Cricetulus griseus: one gene and its partners. The protein of the gene in region 1 interacts with the protein of each later gene in a biochemical or structural test. Links are inferred from orthologs where the notes say so. Each region holds a gene or a part of one and is shown in the gene's direction. Other genes may lie near its edges.

Region 1 (5,179 bases):
CTTTATTTTTCTACTTTCTAAGATGGCTGGACAGGGAGAGGGTGGGCAGCGCTGTTGGTACCCAGCGTGGCTTATCTCCCGTCTCCCGTCCACCTGTGTCCTCTCTCCTAGCTCCTGTATTCCTCCGTGGAGAACATCCAGCGTGTGGCTGCCGGAGTGCTGTGTGAGCTGGCCCAGGACAAGGAGGCTGCTGACGCCATCGATGCGGAGGGCGCCTCTGCCCCTCTCATGGAACTGCTCCACTCCCGCAATGAGGGCACCGGTGAGGGGCTGAGACTGTGGGCAAGCGCCCAAGGGAGGAGGCTGGGCTCTATTCCTCCCGCCATGGTAGGGGCAGCCTCTGACTTGGACCTCACTTCCCTCTCTGCTCAGCGACCTATGCCGCCGCTGTCCTGTTCCGCATCTCGGAGGACAAGAACCCAGATTACCGGAAGCGAGTGTCTGTGGAGCTCACCAACTCGCTCTTCAAGCACGACCCAGCTGCCTGGGAGGCTGTGAGTATGACTGGGCTTGAACGTCTGATTGAACAGACTGCGTGGGGGCAGCTCATTGATCTCTGAGGAGGCTTAGCTGACCTCAGAGATGTAAGTTTAGTTTTCAGATATTTGGGGTTTGTTTGTTTTTGGTATATAGTCTTGTGTAGCCCAGGATAGCCTCTAACTCAATATTCATCTCAAGGGTGATTTTTTGTTTGTTTTGTTTTGTTTTTGAGACAGGGTTTCTTTGTGTAGCCCTGGCTAACCTAGAATTAGCTCTGTAGACCAGGCTGAAATACAAACTCAAACTCAGCTGCCTCTGCCTCCCTAGTGCTGGGGTGCTGGGACTAACGGTGTGTGCACCACTATCTGGCTGGATTTTGAACTTTTTTTTTTAATTTTATATGCCAATCCCAGTTACTTTTTTTTTAGATTTGTTTATATCTATTTGCATGTGTGCCCGAATAACAGAAGAGGGCATCAGATTCCATTATAGATGGTTGTGAGCCACTATGTGGTTGTTGGGAATTGAACTCAGGACCTCTAGAAGTGCATCCATGCTCTTAACCACCGAACCATCTCTCCAGCCCCCTGATTTTGAACTCTTGTTTTTTGTTTTTGTTTTTTGAGACCAGGTTTCTTTAGAGTACCTTTAGAGTCTGTCCTGGAACTTGTTCTGTAGACCAGGCTGGCCTCTGTGTGCCTCTGCCTCCTGAGTGCCGGGATTAAAGGTGTGTGCACCACCACTGCCCAGCTGATTTTGAACTCTTAATCCTCCGGACTCCACCTCTCAAATACTCTGATTTAAGGGTGTCATGCCTGGCTAGATTTTTATTTTATTTTACAATGGGGTCCTTTATGACATAGAGGTAGTAGATTGAATTATGTCTGGTTTTTGTTTTAGTTTGTGTGTATGCTTTTGTTCGTTTGCTTGGCTTTTTTTTTTTTTTTCCAGTGCTGGGGGTCATACCAGGGCCCTGTGCATGCCCTGCAGGGACTCTACCGCTGAGCTGTATCTACAGCCCTGGGTGGTGTTTTGAGATAGTCAGGCATTGCACAGTCTCGCTCTGTACCCCCAGGCTAGCCTGGAATTTGCACCAATCCTCCTGCCTCAGTCTCCCAAGTCCTGGGATCTCAGGCGTGAGCTACCCCACTATTCCCAGCTATGTATCTCTTTTACCCCCATGAAGATAAAGGATTTGAGAATGGGTGCTCTCACTCTGTGTGTGTGTGTGTGTGTGTGTGTGTGTGTGTGTCGGGAATGGAACCTAGGGCCTTGGATATGCTGGACAGGTACTCTGCCACTGACTTACACCTACATCCAGGGTTGCCTTGTTCTAATTTGCACACAGGTACTGTGCAAATTATCCAGGTGCACCCTACCTGCACTTCTTACCTCCACTCCCTCCCCATAGCTGCTCTGGCTTGTGGGAGCCCAAGGCATTAGTGGTGAGACCTCTACCCAGGGCAGGGCCCAGGGACACTGGTGCTTTCTTTTCCTCCTCTGAGGGGTCTCCTGACCCCTTGCTTGGAGCACCTCTCTGTCCTTTGGTGGAAAGGCAGTGCAGAGGATATTTTCCCACACCTCCTATGTCTTTCTGTCCTTCCTCAGGCCCAGAGTATGATCCCAATCAATGAACCCTACGCGGATGGTAAGTGTGTGGAGCGCCACCCGAGAGCCAGTGGCTGTGTGGGTGAGAATGGAAACTCATGGTGGCTGTTGGGTTCCACTTTACATCCCTGAAGTGTGGGGGGGTGTGTGTGTGCAGTGGGCCTACTCTGCTGCCATGTATGGTCTGCAGATCCCTGGACAAGCCTTCCTTTTTCATCCCCAGACATGGATGCCACCTACCGTCCCATGTACTCCAGCGATGTGCCTCTGGACCCCCTGGATATGCATATGGACATGGATGGGGACTACCCCATGGACACCTACAGTGACGGCCTGAGGCCTCCCTACCCCACTGCAGACCACATGCTGGCCTAGCTGGCTCCACCTCAGTATGGCCCCTTCCTGTCTTGCAGCCTTGCCCTCTCCCTGTAGCTGTGGTTATAGTGACACCTGCTTTTCCTCTCTGAATGGTCTGGTGGGGACCTTTCCATTCTGGGCTGTAAACCCTGGCTTCGGTGGGGTGGAGAAGGCATTTGGGAGTCCTAAGCTTTTTAATCTGTTGTGCTCTGGCCCACCTTTATTATGATGATAATATTATTATTATCATTGACAAGGTTTTACTCTGTTTCAGGCTGGCCTAAAATTCACTATGTAGCCCAGGCTGGCCTCAAATCTATGGCTTTTCCCCAGCCTTGGTGACATCGTCATGCCTTTTTTTGTCACCCTTTTCCCCCTTTTGTCACACTGGGAATTGAACCTGGAACTTTGTGTGTGCTAGGCAAGTGCTCTACCACTGGAGTGCATCCCAGCCCTGGTTTTGCCTTCCGTTAAATTGAAATAGTCTGGTTAAACTAGCCTTTAACTCAGTCTGGAGCCCAGCCAGGCATGCCTTGAACTTAGGATCTTTCTGCTTCAGCCCCATAAGGAGCTGCACCGCTGGAGGCTCGCTCCTTTGTACTTGTCCCTTGTTTGGCACCCAGATCCTGCCCCTCCAGCTACTTTTAAGCAAATAAGGAGAAAGGCCAGTTTTTCGGGAGTGGTAGGCAGGTGTCACAATAGCAACCTGAGCGATTCTAGGGGATGCAGGCCTGCCAAGCAAGCACCTGATGATCCCTGTGTCTACCTGCCCCGCAGGAGCTGTTTCTCACCTGGAAAGCTCTCGAGCAGACTGTGGGAGGAGACAGAAAAGTACCCGAGCCCCAGGAGCCAGCCTGGACTTCCTGCTGAACCCATGCTCCAGAGAGTTCCTCCATAGCGTTTCTTGGGATGGTGTCTGCTCCCGCTTTTCTGCCCTGGGCTGTGGATCCAGGCCCACCCAGCACCTTCTCCCGTCCCCACTATGGCTATGGCCACTAAAGCTTTAGACTCAGCCGGTGCCCTTGCACAGCAACCCTCTCAGCTCTACTCCAGCTGCCTGGCCCTCCCGGGCTTCCTTTTTTTTTTTTTTTTTTTTTTTTTTCCCCTGGGGCCAATTTCTCACTGAACTTCAGCATCCAACTGCCCCCATCTGGGATATCCAAGACACAAACAGGTTCAAAGCCCCAACAAACTCCTGACATCTGAAGCTTTTTTTTGAAAAGTTTGGTAACCTTCCAGGGAAAGAGAGTGGGGACTCCAAGTACCCCCTCCAGGACCTGCCCTTCTCTCCAAGATGCTAAGTCTGCTTTGCTCCTCTCCAAGGGAGCTCTTGGCAAAGCCCCCTCTCACCCTGCCCTCCACTAGCCCAGCTGACCTGCACAAGTGCTCTAGCTCACCCCTCTGGTGTGGTGAGGGGCTTTTCCTCTCCTTCCTGTTTGACTCCCACACTGCCTCCTGCACATGGGTTTGGGGGGACTGCAAGGTGGGGGAGCCCCATCAGAGAGTTTTATTATGATTGCTTTATGTTTTTGGTTATTGGTTTTTCTTTTCTTTTTGTTTTTGTATAGACCAAAGCAAAGAAAATAAAATAACACACAGATCCAATGGCTGCTGTTAGAGTATTATGGTATAGGGGAATTAAGGAGTACTGTAGGGGTGAGGGGCCTCTCCTAGCAGCCTGGAATACCTCTTGGCTGAGCCTTGTATGTCCTCAGGGCTGGGGAGGCAAATGGAGAGAGGGGAGTGTTTGAAGAGCTGCAGTCCATTTAATGATTTAATTCCCTAGTCACATAGCACCTTAGGAGTCTAGGACATAGAATAGGGGACAGAAGAGCTTCTGCTTTATTGACACATGGCTAGTTTGCTCCACAGGCAAGCTGCTTGCTCGCCTCAGCCTCTGCCACCGTGCTGTAATATGATTATGACAGATATCTCAACCCCAGCTCTCTGCTGCCTAACACTTGCTAATCCAGGCTTCTTGTTGGCCAGTAGCAGGCCCATCCCAGCTCCTGCCCAGCTCTCCATGACTCCTTGCTGCTCACTATGCTCAGTGGTGGTCACACCCTCTCCGCTCTTTCATGTCTCCTGGGCTCGAACTCTCCCCCCCCCCCCCCCCGTTCGGGGAAACAGCAAGGGAGAGGATAGCACCTGGAAAGAGATGATGTAAGCTAGGCCTAGTGGATGCAGTAGTATCCTGCATCTATGGCTGATGGGCCCAGGCAGAAACCAGAGAGGATGCTTGTGTTCTCTCTAGCTGCCCAGCACAGAGCAAAGTGATCTAGAGATGCCAAGAAAGACACAGAGAGATCTCCCCACCCCAAAGAGGATGTGAGGTGGCTATCAAGGAAGAATCAGTCTCCAGCCCCTTAACAGGCAGCAAGGACAAAAGAGCAGAGAAGGCGGCAAAACCTTTGCAGAAAGATTGAAGGTTAATTCTAGCCATGACTGAGCTGGAACTCTGAGCTTCCCAGCAGCCTGGCTGAAAAGGGCACGTAGATTAATGTAGCATCAATGGTCCATTTTCATGTAGGCTTTCTCACAGCCCCGAGAAAGCCAATTATTGGAACCTTTGATTTCCTTATCTATAAAATAGAACTGTGTTGTAGCTCAGTGTAGAGCATGGGTTCAACATGTGACAGGCTCTGGAGTCGCTACATACAGAAGGAACCATGCCTGGCCCATCTGCCAAGTGTCTGGGTGAAAGTTGAAGACGCAAGGATTCCAGACAGAAGGA
Region 2 (4,842 bases), on another chromosome or scaffold:
GAATTGAAAACACTCATTAAAAATGAACTATTGTGATTGTTTTTTGTTTTTTTACAGGTGGTGCTTGAAGTTAACAGTGAATTTCATATCCAGGTAATAAAAAGCAAACCTCTTTTTTTTCCCACACTGAAAATTAAAAAGGCCAGGAATGGTAGTGCATGTCTGTAATCCCAGCATTCCTAAAACTGAGGCATGAAGATTGTGGATTAGAAGCCAGTCTGAGCTACATAAAGAAACTCTGTTTCAAAATCATACAATAAACAAACAAAACGAAACAAAAACAGAAAAGGGAAAGTGGGGGAGATGGAGGAAGAGGGAGCATATCAAAGGAAAATATAGATTAGCAATGACAACAAATATTCAAGAACAATGACAAGAAAATCCTTGTTCTTCTAAATACAAAATTACTACATTGTTACAATTGTAAATGTTAATATTATCAGAATTCTTAATTTTCCATTTTACCATCTTTTCTTCCTGACATAATTACTCTTCCCCCCCGAATCTTCAGTTGAATACCAGTAAGAGTAAGTTAATAGTTAATGGACACTGTATTTTACCTATTTAAGGTAAGAGACCATAACGCCAAAAATGGTACCATCAGTTGGCACACCATCAGAAGGCAGAAACGTGAGTGGATTAAGTTTGCTGCAGCTTGTCGGGAAGGTGAAGACAACTCAAAAAGAAACCCTATTGCCAAAGTAAGTGTCAACCCCAAAGCATGGATCTAAACAGCACACTAGACAGGGTCACAGTTCTGGAAGGGCCCAGCTTTTATGTGCTTTGTGCACACATGGGACCTAACAGCACCTCCCCATTCAAATTATGAAAACTAAAATTCCTAAAGGGATAAACCAATGAAGTTGTGTACTTGGATTAGCAACTAAACATTGTCTCAACTCATTGGTAGTAGTCCACATGAATAATTGTTATGCTATACTCCAAAACAACCATGGTTTACAGATAGAGTTCAGCATGCTGAGAGTACGTGCTCTCTCTGCTTTGACTTAACTTCTATTTGTCTATATATATAAGGTTCAAAGCATGCCTCATTCATAACCTCAAATTCCTCTGGTTTTTTCTTTCTTCATACACAAAAGCACAAACTCAGGAAGTTATTCCCTACACACACACAGATTCACTCCCATCGACATATAAAGAGAGATATACACAGATACAAGTACAAGCATTCACACAGATGGATATGGAAACTGCCTTGTAAGATTTACTTATATTCATATGATATTTACATGGACAAAAAGCTAGACTCTACAATTTTTTTTACTTTATAATCTTTTATTAGAGTGGGCTCTTTCCTTTTCTTTACCACTTTCAGAATTAAAAGTTTCAAATAATTTGTTACTACAAAAATCTACTTAAACATTTTTTGAATCTTAGTATTTTTAAAGTTGTTTTTGATTTAAAAATCAACATTATAAAATAATATATATTTGATATAAAACTCTCCAAGAAAGCAAGAAATAACCTACCCTGGACGAAGCTAGAATAGAATCTAAAACTAATACAAAAATAAAATTATAAATGTTTAATGATTATGGGATCTATGCACAGCAGCTATAAAGACTTCTTAGAGTAGCATTTGTTTCTTTATTGTTTGGTAGACATAGAAATAGGGCTGGCATAGTGGGGCACTCCTTTTGCACAGCACTCGAGAGTTAGAGGCAGACACATCTCTGTGAGTACAAGGCCAGCCTGGTCTACAAAGCAAGTTCCAGGACAGCCAGGGCTGTTTAAGACAGAGAAACCCTGTCTTAAAAAAACTAAAACAAAGATAAACAAACAAAATAAAAAAAGACATAGAAATGGGATTATCTCATTACATTGCTATTTACCATTAAGAATGCACACTGACCACATACCTATTACTAAAGATCATTTCCCTGTTTTTAACACTTCCCAAGTGATACCACAAATGGCACATTCAACAATTCTCAAGGAAAACATTGTCATATGTCACATGTGGATGTCCACATGGCTCCTGTAACATCTTCTCCTGTGTCTTTGTACAGATTCATTCTGACTGTGCCGCAAACCAGCAAGTGACGTACCGCATCTCTGGAGTAGGAATTGACCAGCCACCTTATGGAATCTTCGTTATTAATCAAAAAACTGGTGAAATTAATATAACATCCATCGTTGATCGGGAAGTCACCCCCTTTTTTATTGTAAGTGGGCTTTGTGTCAACATCTGTATGCAGATGTAAATTATTCTTAGAAAAATTTTAGACCATACTAGATTTGATTTCAAGACTCCCCAAATCTGGCTTTCTGAGATTCAAATCTTTCTGAATTCACTGGTACCCCAATAGATAAAAAATAATAATATAGAAACATTTTCTTTATGTGCTAGCAAAAAAATGCTAATTAACATCAGCTCCATGACAAATTAGATTATTTGCTTGGAAGGGTAAATCTTTAGCTTTTGTTCTATCTTAAAAAAGAAAATCCGTGGAAATTGATGCTTCCTTTTAACTCCAGTGCCAAGTGATAAGCCTGGAGCTCCTGGAGGCTATTTGTTCCATATGGACATACTTCATCATAACGTTACACTGTTCAAGATCATCTGAGCCCTAAAAGAAATTTGAAAACTCACTCATCCTTAGTCTCTCTCTGTCCTCCCCACCCCCAGTCTCCTTTTCTTGTAGAAGTTGTCACACAACTTAAGCAGCCTGTCTTTTAATGTCTCACCTCACTTCTCCTTAAGCATCTCACCTCCAAACCAAGCCACGATCCCCTGTCCTGACACCTCCCATACATACACACAGAACATTCACTTCTCACTCAGATACATTTCTTACTGCTTCTAAAAGCATGATCAATTTTTGCTTTCCCGGAACTTTCCCATGACATGTCTGTCACCCTGTTGTTACTTGTCTCTTGAAGAGCATTATCCTGTCATCGCCTTTCCCCCTTCTATTCTCCTTAGTCATTCACTGCCTTCATTTCCCTCTATGGTCATAGCTAACACTTCTTAATCAAGAAAAAAAATAAAATAAGCTGGGCGGTAGTGATGCATGTCTTTAATCCCAGCACTTGGGATGTGGAGGCAGGCAGATCTCTGTGAGTTCGAGGCCAGCCTGGTCTACAAAACAAGTTCCCGGACAACCAGAACTACACAGAGAAACCCTATCTCAAAAAACCAATAATAATGATAATGATAATCTTCTAATGAACTTGTGATCTCTTCAATTAAAATCTCATCAAACATCTGAGGATTTAACCTAGTGGCCAAGCATTTTTTATTGTGTGTAAAAGACTAGATTCAGTCTCCAGCCTTGATAAGATATAATATTTCAAACTACCTCCAAATATTGTTTAGTCCTTGCTGTGTTAATTCACACTGCACATCTGCATTCCTAGAACTACTTTAATTCCTGAGCCTCCAATTTCATATCTGTATTCTTGACTTCTGCCCTCCACAGTGTCTCCCTACAAATTCAATAAATCAGCAAAGCAGTACACAATTCACTGTTACACAGAGATGGCCTCTGTGAAATAATACACATTATAGGTCTTCTCAAGGGAAGCAGTAATAATAAAACAAACAACCGCCCCAGCACTTAAGAATGCCACATTGTTTTCAAAGTGCTCCTCTGATTCTTGCTGGCCGTGTTCTCTGGTGTCCTTCCCCTGGTACTCTTTCTCTTGATTTTAAACATAGAAGCTGCAACATTTCCTTTATCTAATGCATCAGTTTACCTTTATAAACTGGCATTTTATGCTCTTGTTTGCCTTTTCTTACTGATTATGTGTGTTGTTCATGTCTATATTTTAATGGGGAATAATAATATGGTATTCCTTAATCCTACATGTTACCAAGACAATACCTCCACCTGTAAGAACTTACAAATGTGTAACTCACCAGGGATCCTTTTCTTTCATATCTAGATCTACTGCCGAGCATTGAATGCACAAGGTCAAGATTTGGAGAACCCACTGGAGCTTAGAGTCAGGGTTATGGATATAAATGACAACCCTCCTGTGTTTTCCATGACTACATTTACAGGACAAATAGAAGAAAATTCTAATGCAAGTGAGTCACCTGTACAACTAAAGAAACATTGTGTTGATGACTAAATTACTGTTGCTAGGCAACTGGGCTGAGCAGTGTCAAGGTAAACATCAACTGGGAGGTAGAAAGCATCCAGAACCAACAACTCAGGAAAAAGCTCCAGTGTCAGTCCAGGAGTACCTCCAAAGGAACAAGTGGAATTCACACTCATGCCTCAAGGTCTAGCTCCTAGGAGAGTCTTGCAAAAACTCCCAACAAAATCTGCATAGTAGTGACAGGCTCAAAGGGATGAGAATTTTCTCTCTGCCCTAGTGTGTTGAAAAGCAATCCCACTCACAGGTGATTATCATCCTTACTTCCAATTTATTGTTTATCCAGATGTAAGAAATGCACCTCTTTATGGGAGTGCATTACTCAACACAATGCATAACAATCCAATAAGGTTCAGGAGCATCTCCATGTCTTTAACCAGCAAGCACTGAAGAAGTCCCTACTTATCCTTTGCAACCATCCTGACATGTATCATAGATAGTACCCTATTCTGCTGAAGAAGAACCTCAAAGAACTCATGCACTGTAATTTTGATCACCCCTACTGAACTTTTTAATGGTCATTGTTTTTATACAAACCAAGCCAGGCACAGGAAGACAAATGTCATGCATTATCACTTATTTCCAAAGCACCCTTGCAGAAGGATAGAGGGAACAGTGGCCACTAGAGACTGGGGAGCAGTGAGTAATGGAAACAGAAAGAAGTTTATTATTTTAAAGTCACTCAAAGATATCTGTTCAGACTAATCTCTTTTGATG
Region 3 (4,842 bases), on another chromosome or scaffold:
GAGGGTTAAACCTGCTTTTCAGTGCCCTCTGATTTTGGTCTTGCTGTCTCCTAAATATTATTGACATCTCCTGGAAGGAGAGGAAACACTGGATGGGTACAGGCTAATAGTGAATTGTTCTTCTGAGTTAGACTGTTAGTGACATTTGTTCAATGACAGTCAACAAAGGTGGTGTGCTTGTTTTTATTACATTACTTATTTGGGGTATGGGTGCTCATGCCATGGTGTTTTTGAAGGACAGAGGACAAGTTGCAGAAGTTGGTTCAAACTCTAGATTCTAGCTCCACCCTCCTGAATGCCAACATGCCAATGTGTGCCTGTGCCCAGCCTTGCATACAAAACTTTTGGTATATGTGGTTGGCACCAAGCCTGTCTTCTGTACATAGAACATGCCATGTTACTATGTCACCCTCTAGTAGAAGATCTGATCCTTCATTCAGCTTTTTGCTTATTCCTCAGAGAATCACATTTTGGAGGATGTGAACAAGTGTGTCATTGCTCTCCAAGAGAAAGATGTGGATGGGCTGGACCGCACTGCTGGCGCCATTCGGGGCCGGGCAGCTCGAGTCATCCATGTAGTCACCTCAGAGATGGACAACTATGAACCAGGAGTTTATACAGAAAAGGTTCTGGAAGCCACCAAGCTCCTCTCCAACACAGGTCTGAGAACTGTCTTCTGTCCTAGTGTTCTCCCTGGTCCTCACTATGGCTTGGCTCTGACATCATTCCACATCTTGTGGATTGTACAGAACTCAGCTCTGGTTTTACACACACTGGGTGGCTCATCTTACTAGTAAGAAGTTGGTTATTAGGCAGCTCATGAACACATAAGTCTTTAAGGTGGGTCCTTCCTCCTGAAGTGTTGGGGATTGAACCCAGAACCTCTTACATGCTGGCCAAGCACTCAGCTACTATCCCAACCTGTTGTAAGTCCCATTGTTAAGGTCTCAAGGTAGTGTCATTTCAAGTTCTCAGTCACTCAATCCTAGATCACAGAGTCTGGTGAGAAGATGGTTGAGTCCTTGCAAAATATTGTCTGTTAGTCACCTATAAACGCCAAGGTTTATTTTGCTGGTGAGTACTGGGCACAAGAGTAGAAACACAAAGATCTTTGTCATGAGCTTCACTCTTCTGCCTGTTCAAGGACTCAGGAAAATGTTGGTAGAGTGCTGTCTGCTTAGGGTGACCTGCCTGCCTCTTGTCTCCATAGTCATGCCACGGTTCACTGAGCAAGTGGAAGCAGCTGTGGAAGCCCTCAGCTCAGACCCAGCCCAGCCTATGGATGAGAATGAGTTTATTGATGCCTCCCGACTGGTTTACGATGGCATCCGGGACATCAGGAAAGCAGTGCTGATGATAAGGGTGAATAACTACATTCTAGACATTTCAACAGCTTCTTTCTTATCATTTGATAACTTGACCAGTGTGTCATTTTGAAACTCAGCAGATCCAGTGGCCCTGTAGTGAAACCACAGATCCAAGAGCTGGTAAAATGAGAAAGAACCCAAAAATGGATCGAAAAAAGAAAATAAGATGGGCTTGATGAATTAAGAATTAATTTAGGAAATTTAGTTCAATAAACATAGATTAGCTTGGGTTACAGGGGAAACTACAGGAAATAGTCTCTTTAATTTCAGAGAAGCAGCTTTTTCTTAAAATAGGTAAAGTTCCTGTACTCCTCTCCAGAAGAAACTTTCCTCTCCTTGAAGGGAAGCCCAGGCAGGAGGTTAGACTCTGTTCAGGATAAGGAGTGGATGCTCCATGGCTCATGGCCAAGTGCTGAGCCAAGTGGAAGTACTGCCTCTGAGTCTTTGTCACCCATCTCAGAAAAGGCAGCAGAAGGTCCTATGGAGTTGGGTGGGATGGGTCTCTGAAACTGCAGTTTCTTCCATCAAACATGTCTTGGGCCTGTGTCTCCCAAACTGCCTTTTCCGTCGCTGTGGATCTCTTGCATGTTGCTCTGTCTGTGTTCCACCCCCAGTTTGTTGCAGGCTTGCAGAAGGGGCATTTGGAATACATTGCCCACCTGCTGCATTGCTGGAGCTTTGACTGCTGTCGTGTAGTTCAGTCCACTGACTTTCATTAATACCCGCATGGTTTGGCTAGACAGGGGCCCTATCTACTTTCTTACCCCTCTTCCTAGACTGCAGAAGTTAACCGCAGTGCCAGTTGGAACCATGTTCAAGACTTGCTGCATCCATTTTGTATGCAGCATTGAAACACTTAGGAAGACCACCATTCTGTGCATGAAGCAGGACAGCTGCCCATCAGCCCCAAGCACACTGGGAAGAGGAATGGTTGTGGGTGGAGCTACAAGATAGCAGAGGCTTCAGTCTTTGAGTGGGCCGGAGATGCTTTAGTGGATGAAGGTGTCTGCCACCAAACCATGAGGCCCGTTTGACCCTCAGGACCATCTCCCACAGGTTGTTCTCTGAGTTCCACATGTACAAAATAGATTAAAATGCCACTAAAAAGGTATTTTTTAAAGTTAAGGCAGAAGAATCTATCTCCTATAGAGGCTGGTCTGAGTTAACCATGGCAGCCAGTGGCTATAATATGGTATTAGTGGGTCCCAAGGCTACATATACTCCAGGGAGGCACACAGTTCTGCTTGTGTGTCCTGAAGCCATGTTAAAGCCAATGGGATCAAAGCTATGTAGTGTTCCCTAGGAGGTGACTCAAACCTAGAATACCACTTTGAAGAAGCAGTCTGGGTACTGGGAAAGCTCATCCTGAGAGCAGGCAGGTACCTTAGATGCCTCCTCCAAAATAATTCCTCTGTCTGTTACATCATTTTCTTCTCTTTACTGGGGAGCTGGAGTGATGGTGGTTCAGTGGTTAAAAGCACTGGTACTCTTTTGAGAGTTTGGACACCCATGTGGTGCCTCAGAACCATCTGAAACTCAGTCCCAGGGGATCCCATGCCCTCTTCTGGCCTACAGGTATGCCATACATGAATGAGGCATAACTCTCATACACATACAATAATTGTTTTAAAAAGTAATGGCTTTATTGAATGAAAAATGGCAGTGTTTTCAGCACAGTTCACTGCCTCTGGCTTCTTTCTTTCTTTCTCTATATGATCATGTCCCCCTTTGGGGGCGGCAGGGCCACAACATACCTCTCAGCCCCTCTGTATATCAGTCTCCTTGTCAGGGAAGCCCTGGTCTCTTCTCTTTGCCTGCATTTCTTTGTAAAAATGCGCTTTCTTTAGAGGCTGATTTTGCTCGTTTTCATACTTAAGTAGCCAACCCAGCCTCTGAAGCCAGATTACTCAGTGGTTAACTCCCCTGATCAAACAGCAAGTTTGGTTGGTTTTATCTTCCCTTTCGGGAATATGAATGTGGTCCCTTAGCGCAGTGCATCTCAGTCAATTCGTGTTGTCTGCTGTTCCATACTCTCCTAAGGTTCCACACCACTTGTCCTCTGCTGATCTTCCCTTGGCTCAGAGTCACCTGAGCTGGGATCCAGCCAGTGAGCCAAATCACTCTTCTGTTACTTGCTACTTCCTCAGTCTACCAACACCAGTCCTCCCACAAGACCTGTCTTTCCCTGTTTCCCATCAGCAGGATGGCTCTCTGTTCATGGCTCTGGAGTAAGTCATATAGTTGACTCCTGGTGCTTCCTGTTAGAATAGGTGAGTGAGTGAACACCAGCAGTCTGCAGCTAGAGCTCAGAGGTTCTGAACAGGACTCTAGAGCCCCATGCTGACAGGATCTTTATGGCTCTGTGGTACCTTGTGATTCCTGCCCCCTACTGTTCTCACTTCTCTAGGGGTAGGCCCAACCTTTCCCTGTCAGAATACAAGCTCATGTCACTGAGTGCTTCCTACATGTTCTGTCATTTGATCCTCACAGCAAGGCCCTGGGCATGGCTTGGCTCAGGGCCCAGTGGAGAGGAGGTCTCACTGCCCTCCTGTCACAGACTGGTCGTCTGGGCCAAAAGCCAACCCCAGCTGTCTTGCCTGTCGTCCTTCCTGATAACTGTGTCAATCAGTAGCTAATCAGGAGAGGCTGGGGTTGTACAAAACACAGATTTTGCCCAATAGTTAAAGCAGAAAGCAAGCAGTAGTCAGTGCCTTTGGTGTGCACGGAACTCTCATCTGCTGCATTCTCCTTTCCTTGGATAGAAAGAAAGTAGGACTTTAGGAATCATAGATTACCTTGTTTTATTCCTCTAAATTGCCTTTGGCACTCAGAGAGAAATCCCAGTATTAATTTATGTCCTTTTCTTGTCATAAGGTGGGACTTGAGTGAGATTGTTCTATGTTGTATAAAACATACCCGCTGTAAAGACTTTTGACCAAGGGTGGTTTTTACCTTCATGTGCAGATGCAGATCCCTTGGGAAACTGCATTGAAGTGAAGTCTTTGTTACAGCAAGCCTTGATTCAGTGGTCAGCCTGCGCTCCATACCCTATGAAAGGAGCTGTCTTTAAAAAGAGGGTGTGGAGGCGACACAAGATACTCTCTGGTGACCAGAGTCCTACACTCTGGGCCTCTATGCTCTGGTTGGGAGATTTCACTCTGGGAGGCTGGAGGCACAGAACTGTGTCTGATTCATAGTCTTTTGTGTTGGCTGCAGACTCCCGAGGAATTGGATGACTCTGACTTTGAGACAGAAGATTTTGATGTCAGAAGTAGGACAAGTGTCCAGACAGAAGACGACCAACTGATAGCTGGACAAAGTGCCCGGGTAAGGACACTCTCCTTGGTTCTCTGACTTGTTCTGTGAGACTCCCTAGCTATTTTCTCTTTTAGAATATTCAATAGTATTCTTCTTGTCTGATTTTGGTGGTATGACTGACATCGTAAGTGGCTTCCTGCAAAATCCCTCCTCAGCT
Region 4 (4,842 bases), on another chromosome or scaffold:
ATAATGTCTGTAAGAACAGCGAGTGCTCTTAACTGTTGAGGCTCTTAAATGCTGAGCCATCTCTCTAGCCCCTAAGTTTTGGATTTAATAAGAAAGGAAAAATTTGAGAGTAAGGTTAATTCCAACACTTGGGAGGCAGGGAAGAAGGGTTTGTATGACTTCAAGGCCAGCCAGAACTATATTGCAAGACTCTGTCTCAAAAATAAAGAACCAGCTGGGCGTTGGTGGTGCACGCCTTTAGTCCTAGCACTCGGGAGGCAGATCTCTGTGAGTATGAGACCAGCCTGGTCTACAAGAGCTAGTTCCAGGACAGCCTCCAAAGCCACAGAGAAACCCTGTCTCAAAAAATAAAAACAAACAAATAAATAAACAAAAACAAACAAACAAAGAACCAAATATGGTGGGTCATGATTTAATCCTAACATTTAGAAATCTAAGAGAGGTTTGTTGTGAGTTTGAGAGCAGCCTGAGCTATATAGTAAATTCTAGACCAGCCTGAGCTACAGAGTAAAGCTCTGTCTCAAAAAAGCAAAGCTACCTGGCCATGATGACACATGCCTTTAATTCAGGCACTCTGGAGGCAGAGGCAGGTGGATCTCTGTGAGTTCAAGGCCAGTCTGGTCTACATAGAGAGTTCCAGGATAGCCAAGGTGGTTGGTTGCATAGTATCAAAAAAGCAAACCAGTCATGCAAAATAATAAATAAATAAATAAATAACACAAAACAACAAACCAGAGTACAAAGAGAAAATGGAAGAATGTCTTGGAATGGTTGCACAGACTTGTAATATCAGGCTGAGGCAGAAGGATTGTAAGTTCCAGGCGAAACTCAGCCATACAAAACAAGACTTTGTATCACTCACAAAGTGAAGGCTTAGGAGGTGCAGCACTTGCTTTGTATAAGCTTGAGGACCTTAAGTGTGAATTCCCAAAACCCATACTAAGCTGAGTGAAGTGGTATGGGTCTGTAGATCCAGGAAAGTGACACTCATGGGCTAGCTAGCCTGGTGTGCACAGTGACAAAAAACTGAGAGACTGAGGCTGTCCTCTGATCAACACACACCTGTGATAATCGTTACATGCAAGCACACTGGAATCTAACTTTCTAGTTCTTTCCCTTTGTCTGGTTGAGTTTTCTCATGTTCGGAATGTTTAGGCATGATTCTCCTTTTGCCCTCACACACACAAGTTACTCACCATTTATTACCCATCTCTGTGAATACCCTGCAGCTTGGCAAGGTGGGACCTTTATCTTCCTTTTCAATATGGCCAGTCTCTAGCTGTTCATTGTGACTGTGTCATATGGCCATTTGAAGGCTTAGAGTGTGGTGTTGATGGGCAGTTTCTTAAATTCTTCTTGCACTGGAGTTAAATCCCCCCCCCCCCAAATATTATGTCAGTGTTTTCCAACCATGGTCATCTTCATTACTGAACACTTGCTGTGTTTCAGGTACTACTCTAGATACTTTATATGTAAACAAGTATCATTTAGTCCTTCCAAGCTCTCTAGGACATTGGCACCAATACCAAAATCTCAGTTTTAGCCTGAGCGGTGTCATACACCTCTAGTACCAACACTTGGAAAGTAGAGACAGGTAGATTTCTAGGAGTTAGAGGCCAGCCTGGTTTACATAGTGACTTTCAGGGCAGCCAGGGCTACACTGTGAAGCAGGCCCTATCTCAACAAAACAAAACAAATGCCCACTTTAGACATTGGGACAGTTCACCCAGAGGTTATGAGATCCCCTCTGGAGGCAGATGGGGAGCTATACTGAGAATTAAAAGCTAGCTGGCCAGCCCCTAGCCCATGGTGGCTTTCTTCTGTAGTTGACAAATGAAAGGATGGTAAGGGCAGAGTGTGTAGGATGTGTGTGTTTATGTGACAGGTCTGTGGGAATGGGTTCTAGAATCCCGGGTCACATTTTATGTTTTAGATCTTAGAAGAAAAGCAACAAAAACAGAAGGGCTGAATATACAAAAATGTAGCTCAATTGGTAAAGTCCTTGCCTAGCATGCATGAGGCCCTGGCTTCTGTTCCCCGCCACCACATGGACAGCATGGTGGCACGTGTCTGTCATCTGTGATAGGTGGAGGAAGAAGAGCTGAAGGTCAAGATCATCCTTGGCTACACAGCTTGAAGCCAGAGAATGTTTCTAAAAGAACGCCCAAACAAACAAGCAAAAAGGAAATAGGGCTTGATTAGAACTTGGCAGGCTATATAGTCTCTGATAAATGAGTATCTCCCCATGAAAGGAGAGGGTGAAATCTTCTAGAACTTTGTTACCTTGAGTCATTCTAAAACACTTAAGCAATTTAGGAGGCATTTTCCTTTCGTCTTCAGCTCTCTTATTTCCCTGAGTGTGCATGAAATTATCTTTATTGCACATTGGAACTGTTCAATACCAGTCTCCAGGTTATTTTTGTTTCCCATCCCAGCAGCTTCTGTTAGAACAAATGGAACCCTTAGAGATAGGACACAATAAGATTAACACATTTGTATTGATCTCAAAGTAGTTCTTAGTAGCAATTCCCCAAACTTAAACAAGTTTGGTAAATTAAACAAGATTGATAACTCCACTTAGAGAACTATATCCCTAGATATTTGGGAGTCCAGAACTAAATCCCCTCTGATATTATCGGAGTATAATGCCATTTAAAGGACACGTATTACATAAGCCTGAAATAACTTCTATTTATTTATTTATTTTTGGTTTTTCGAGAGACGGTTTCTCTGTGGCTTTGGAGGTTGTCCTGTAACTAGCTCTTGTAGAGCAGGCTGGTCTTGAACTCACAGAGATCCACCTGCTTCTGCCTCCCAAGTTCTGGGATTAAAGGGGTGTGCCAACACTGCCTGGCTGAAATAACTTTTAAATGCAATTGTCAAATTTCACACCCACAAATTGTGTAGATGCACAGTGGTTATTTGAATTCTGGATATTAAGAATTTAAAGAGCTCAGCCTAGTGGTGATCATGCATGACTTTAATCCTAGCACTGGAGGCAAAGGCAGGCAAATCTCTTGAGTTCAAGGCCAGGGTAAGTTCCAGGACAACTAGGGCTACACAGAAAAACCTTGTCTTGAAAGCCACAAAAAAAAAAAAAAAAAAAAAAAAAAAAGAAAAGAAAAAAAGAAAAGAAAAAAAGAAAAGAAAAAAAGAAAAGAAAAGAAAAAGAATTTAAGGAAAATATAGTTATTTGTTATATGGCTGTATTAGTTAGCCTTCTGACACTATAACAAAATTCCTGGGGCAATTGACTTAAAATAAAAGGTTTTACTTGGGTTTTTGTTCTGGAGGTTTAAGACCAAATAACATTGTAATTTTGTCCTCTGGTAAGGGCAGCACATCAGAGTGGGAACATATAGGAGAACAACCAATTGTCTTATAATACAAAAAGCAAAGCAGAGACTGGAGTCTCACGGTATGCTTCAAGGAAATATCTCCTGTGGTCTGAAGACCTCTCATTGGCCACTAAGCTAGGACCTAAGCTTTCAAGCACAGGGAACATTATTGGCAGCCAGTGTCCAAACAATAGCATTGTCAGGAATTCTTTGGTTTATGTTTCAGCTCTTCATTTTGGATGGTACACAGAATTTGCTATTGAGATTGAGTCCTTAAATTCAAATGTACACCACCTTTAGAAGATGGGAGACATCAGTGGGATAGATTGAACTGTTAGACCTGTGTTGTGTGTCTTCTAAATTACTTCATTTTTGTTAATCTTCTTTCCTCTTAGGACCCTGTCTCTGGATCCCAACCAGAAATGCTCACATTTCCCAGCTCTCACCAGGGTCCCAGAAGACAGAAACGAGACTGGGTTATCCCCCCCATCAGCTGCCCGGAAAATGAGAAGGGCCCATTTCCTAAAAACTTGGTTCAGGTATGGAAGGACTGAGAGAAGAGAAAATGAAAGGATTCAATGTCAAGACTTTTTTTTTTTTTTTTTTTTTGCCAATTCTGTTTCTTTTCTGTTTTGTGTTCAGATCAAATCCAATAGGGACAAAGAAACCACGGTTTTCTACAGCATCACTGGCCAAGGAGCTGACAGACCCCCTGTTGGTGTGTTTATCATTGAGAGAGAATCAGGCTGGCTGAAAGTGACAGAGCCTCTGGATAGAGAAAATATTGCCAAGTACATTGTGAGTATTTCTTAGATACTTGATGATCATTGGGTAACAAGTGTCAAGTTTGGGGGGCAACCCATGTTTTATCCCTAGGCCACATACATGCCTTGGCTGTGTGAGTAACTTAACTTACCCCTTGACGTGTTGATAATGTGAAGCCAAGAGAATAATTTGGGATGGTTAGTTGCTTTGTTTCCTTATAGGAGAAAAGCAGGAAATCCTCACACCATACATGAGCATAGATAGAAGTTGTCAAAGCGGGGGTGGAGAGATGAGATGGCTCAACAGTTAAGAGCATTTGTTGCTCTTATATTTTTGGTTGTGAGCCTAGCCTTTAACAGCTGAGCCATCTCTCCAACCCAAATTTGTTGCTTTTGTAGAGAATTTTGACTTCAGTTCCCAGCACTCAGATTAGGTGGTTTACAACCATCTGAAACTCTAGCTCCAGGTGCTCTGACATCCTCTTATGCCCTCCTTGTTCTGCATGAAAGTGCATGTGAACCCCACCCACACACACACAGAGAGAGAGAGAGAGAGAGAGAGAGAGAGAGAGAGAGAGAGACAGACAGACAGACAGACAGACAGACAGACAGACAGACAGAGATAGACAGACATAAATGAAAAGATGTCAGAAGTTTCTTACCTAGTCGAAATGTATTCTGATGACAATAATGGAGAGAAAATCTACTCCCACTTCTGTCTACTTCTGCTTCTGGGACTT

What was found. The genes of interacting proteins can lie anywhere in the genome.
Region 2: the proteins of Jup (region 1) and desmoglein-1-alpha form a complex in vitro, tested with the Homo sapiens proteins (2 studies listed by BioGRID and IntAct). The link is inferred for Cricetulus griseus from reciprocal best matches to the Homo sapiens genes JUP and DSG1.
Region 3: the proteins of Jup (region 1) and Ctnna1 form a complex in vitro, tested with the Homo sapiens proteins (2 studies listed by BioGRID). The link is inferred for Cricetulus griseus from reciprocal best matches to the Homo sapiens genes JUP and CTNNA1.
Region 4: the proteins of Jup (region 1) and Cdh1 form a complex in vitro, tested with the Homo sapiens proteins (2 studies listed by BioGRID). The link is inferred for Cricetulus griseus from reciprocal best matches to the Homo sapiens genes JUP and CDH1.

The regions. Positions count from the first base shown.
Region 1 is NC_048600.1:113,430,333-113,435,511, reverse strand, and holds the end of Jup (junction plakoglobin), read left to right. Parts: intron 1-111; coding exon 112-262; intron 263-372; coding exon 373-494; intron 495-2,088; coding exon 2,089-2,128; intron 2,129-2,311; coding exon 2,312-2,463; 3' UTR 2,464-2,477; intron 2,478-3,222; 3' UTR 3,223-4,050; downstream 4,051-5,179. UniProt on the Homo sapiens protein: Common junctional plaque protein. The membrane-associated plaques are architectural elements in an important strategic position to influence the arrangement and function of both the cytoskeleton and the cells within the tissue.
Region 2 is NC_048595.1:216,590,020-216,594,861, reverse strand, and holds part of desmoglein-1-alpha, read left to right. Parts: intron 1-57; coding exon 58-93; intron 94-569; coding exon 570-701; intron 702-2,030; coding exon 2,031-2,186; intron 2,187-3,909; coding exon 3,910-4,054; intron 4,055-4,842. UniProt on the Homo sapiens protein: Component of intercellular desmosome junctions. Involved in the interaction of plaque proteins and intermediate filaments mediating cell-cell adhesion.
Region 3 is NC_048595.1:202,265,762-202,270,603, reverse strand, and holds part of Ctnna1 (catenin alpha-1), read left to right. Parts: intron 1-459; coding exon 460-660; intron 661-1,210; coding exon 1,211-1,362; intron 1,363-4,583; coding exon 4,584-4,694; intron 4,695-4,842. UniProt on the Homo sapiens protein: Associates with the cytoplasmic domain of a variety of cadherins. The association of catenins to cadherins produces a complex which is linked to the actin filament network, and which seems to be of primary importance for cadherins cell-adhesion properties.
Region 4 is NC_048596.1:182,967,691-182,972,532, forward strand, and holds part of Cdh1 (cadherin-1), read left to right. Parts: intron 1-3,733; coding exon 3,734-3,877; intron 3,878-3,980; coding exon 3,981-4,136; intron 4,137-4,842.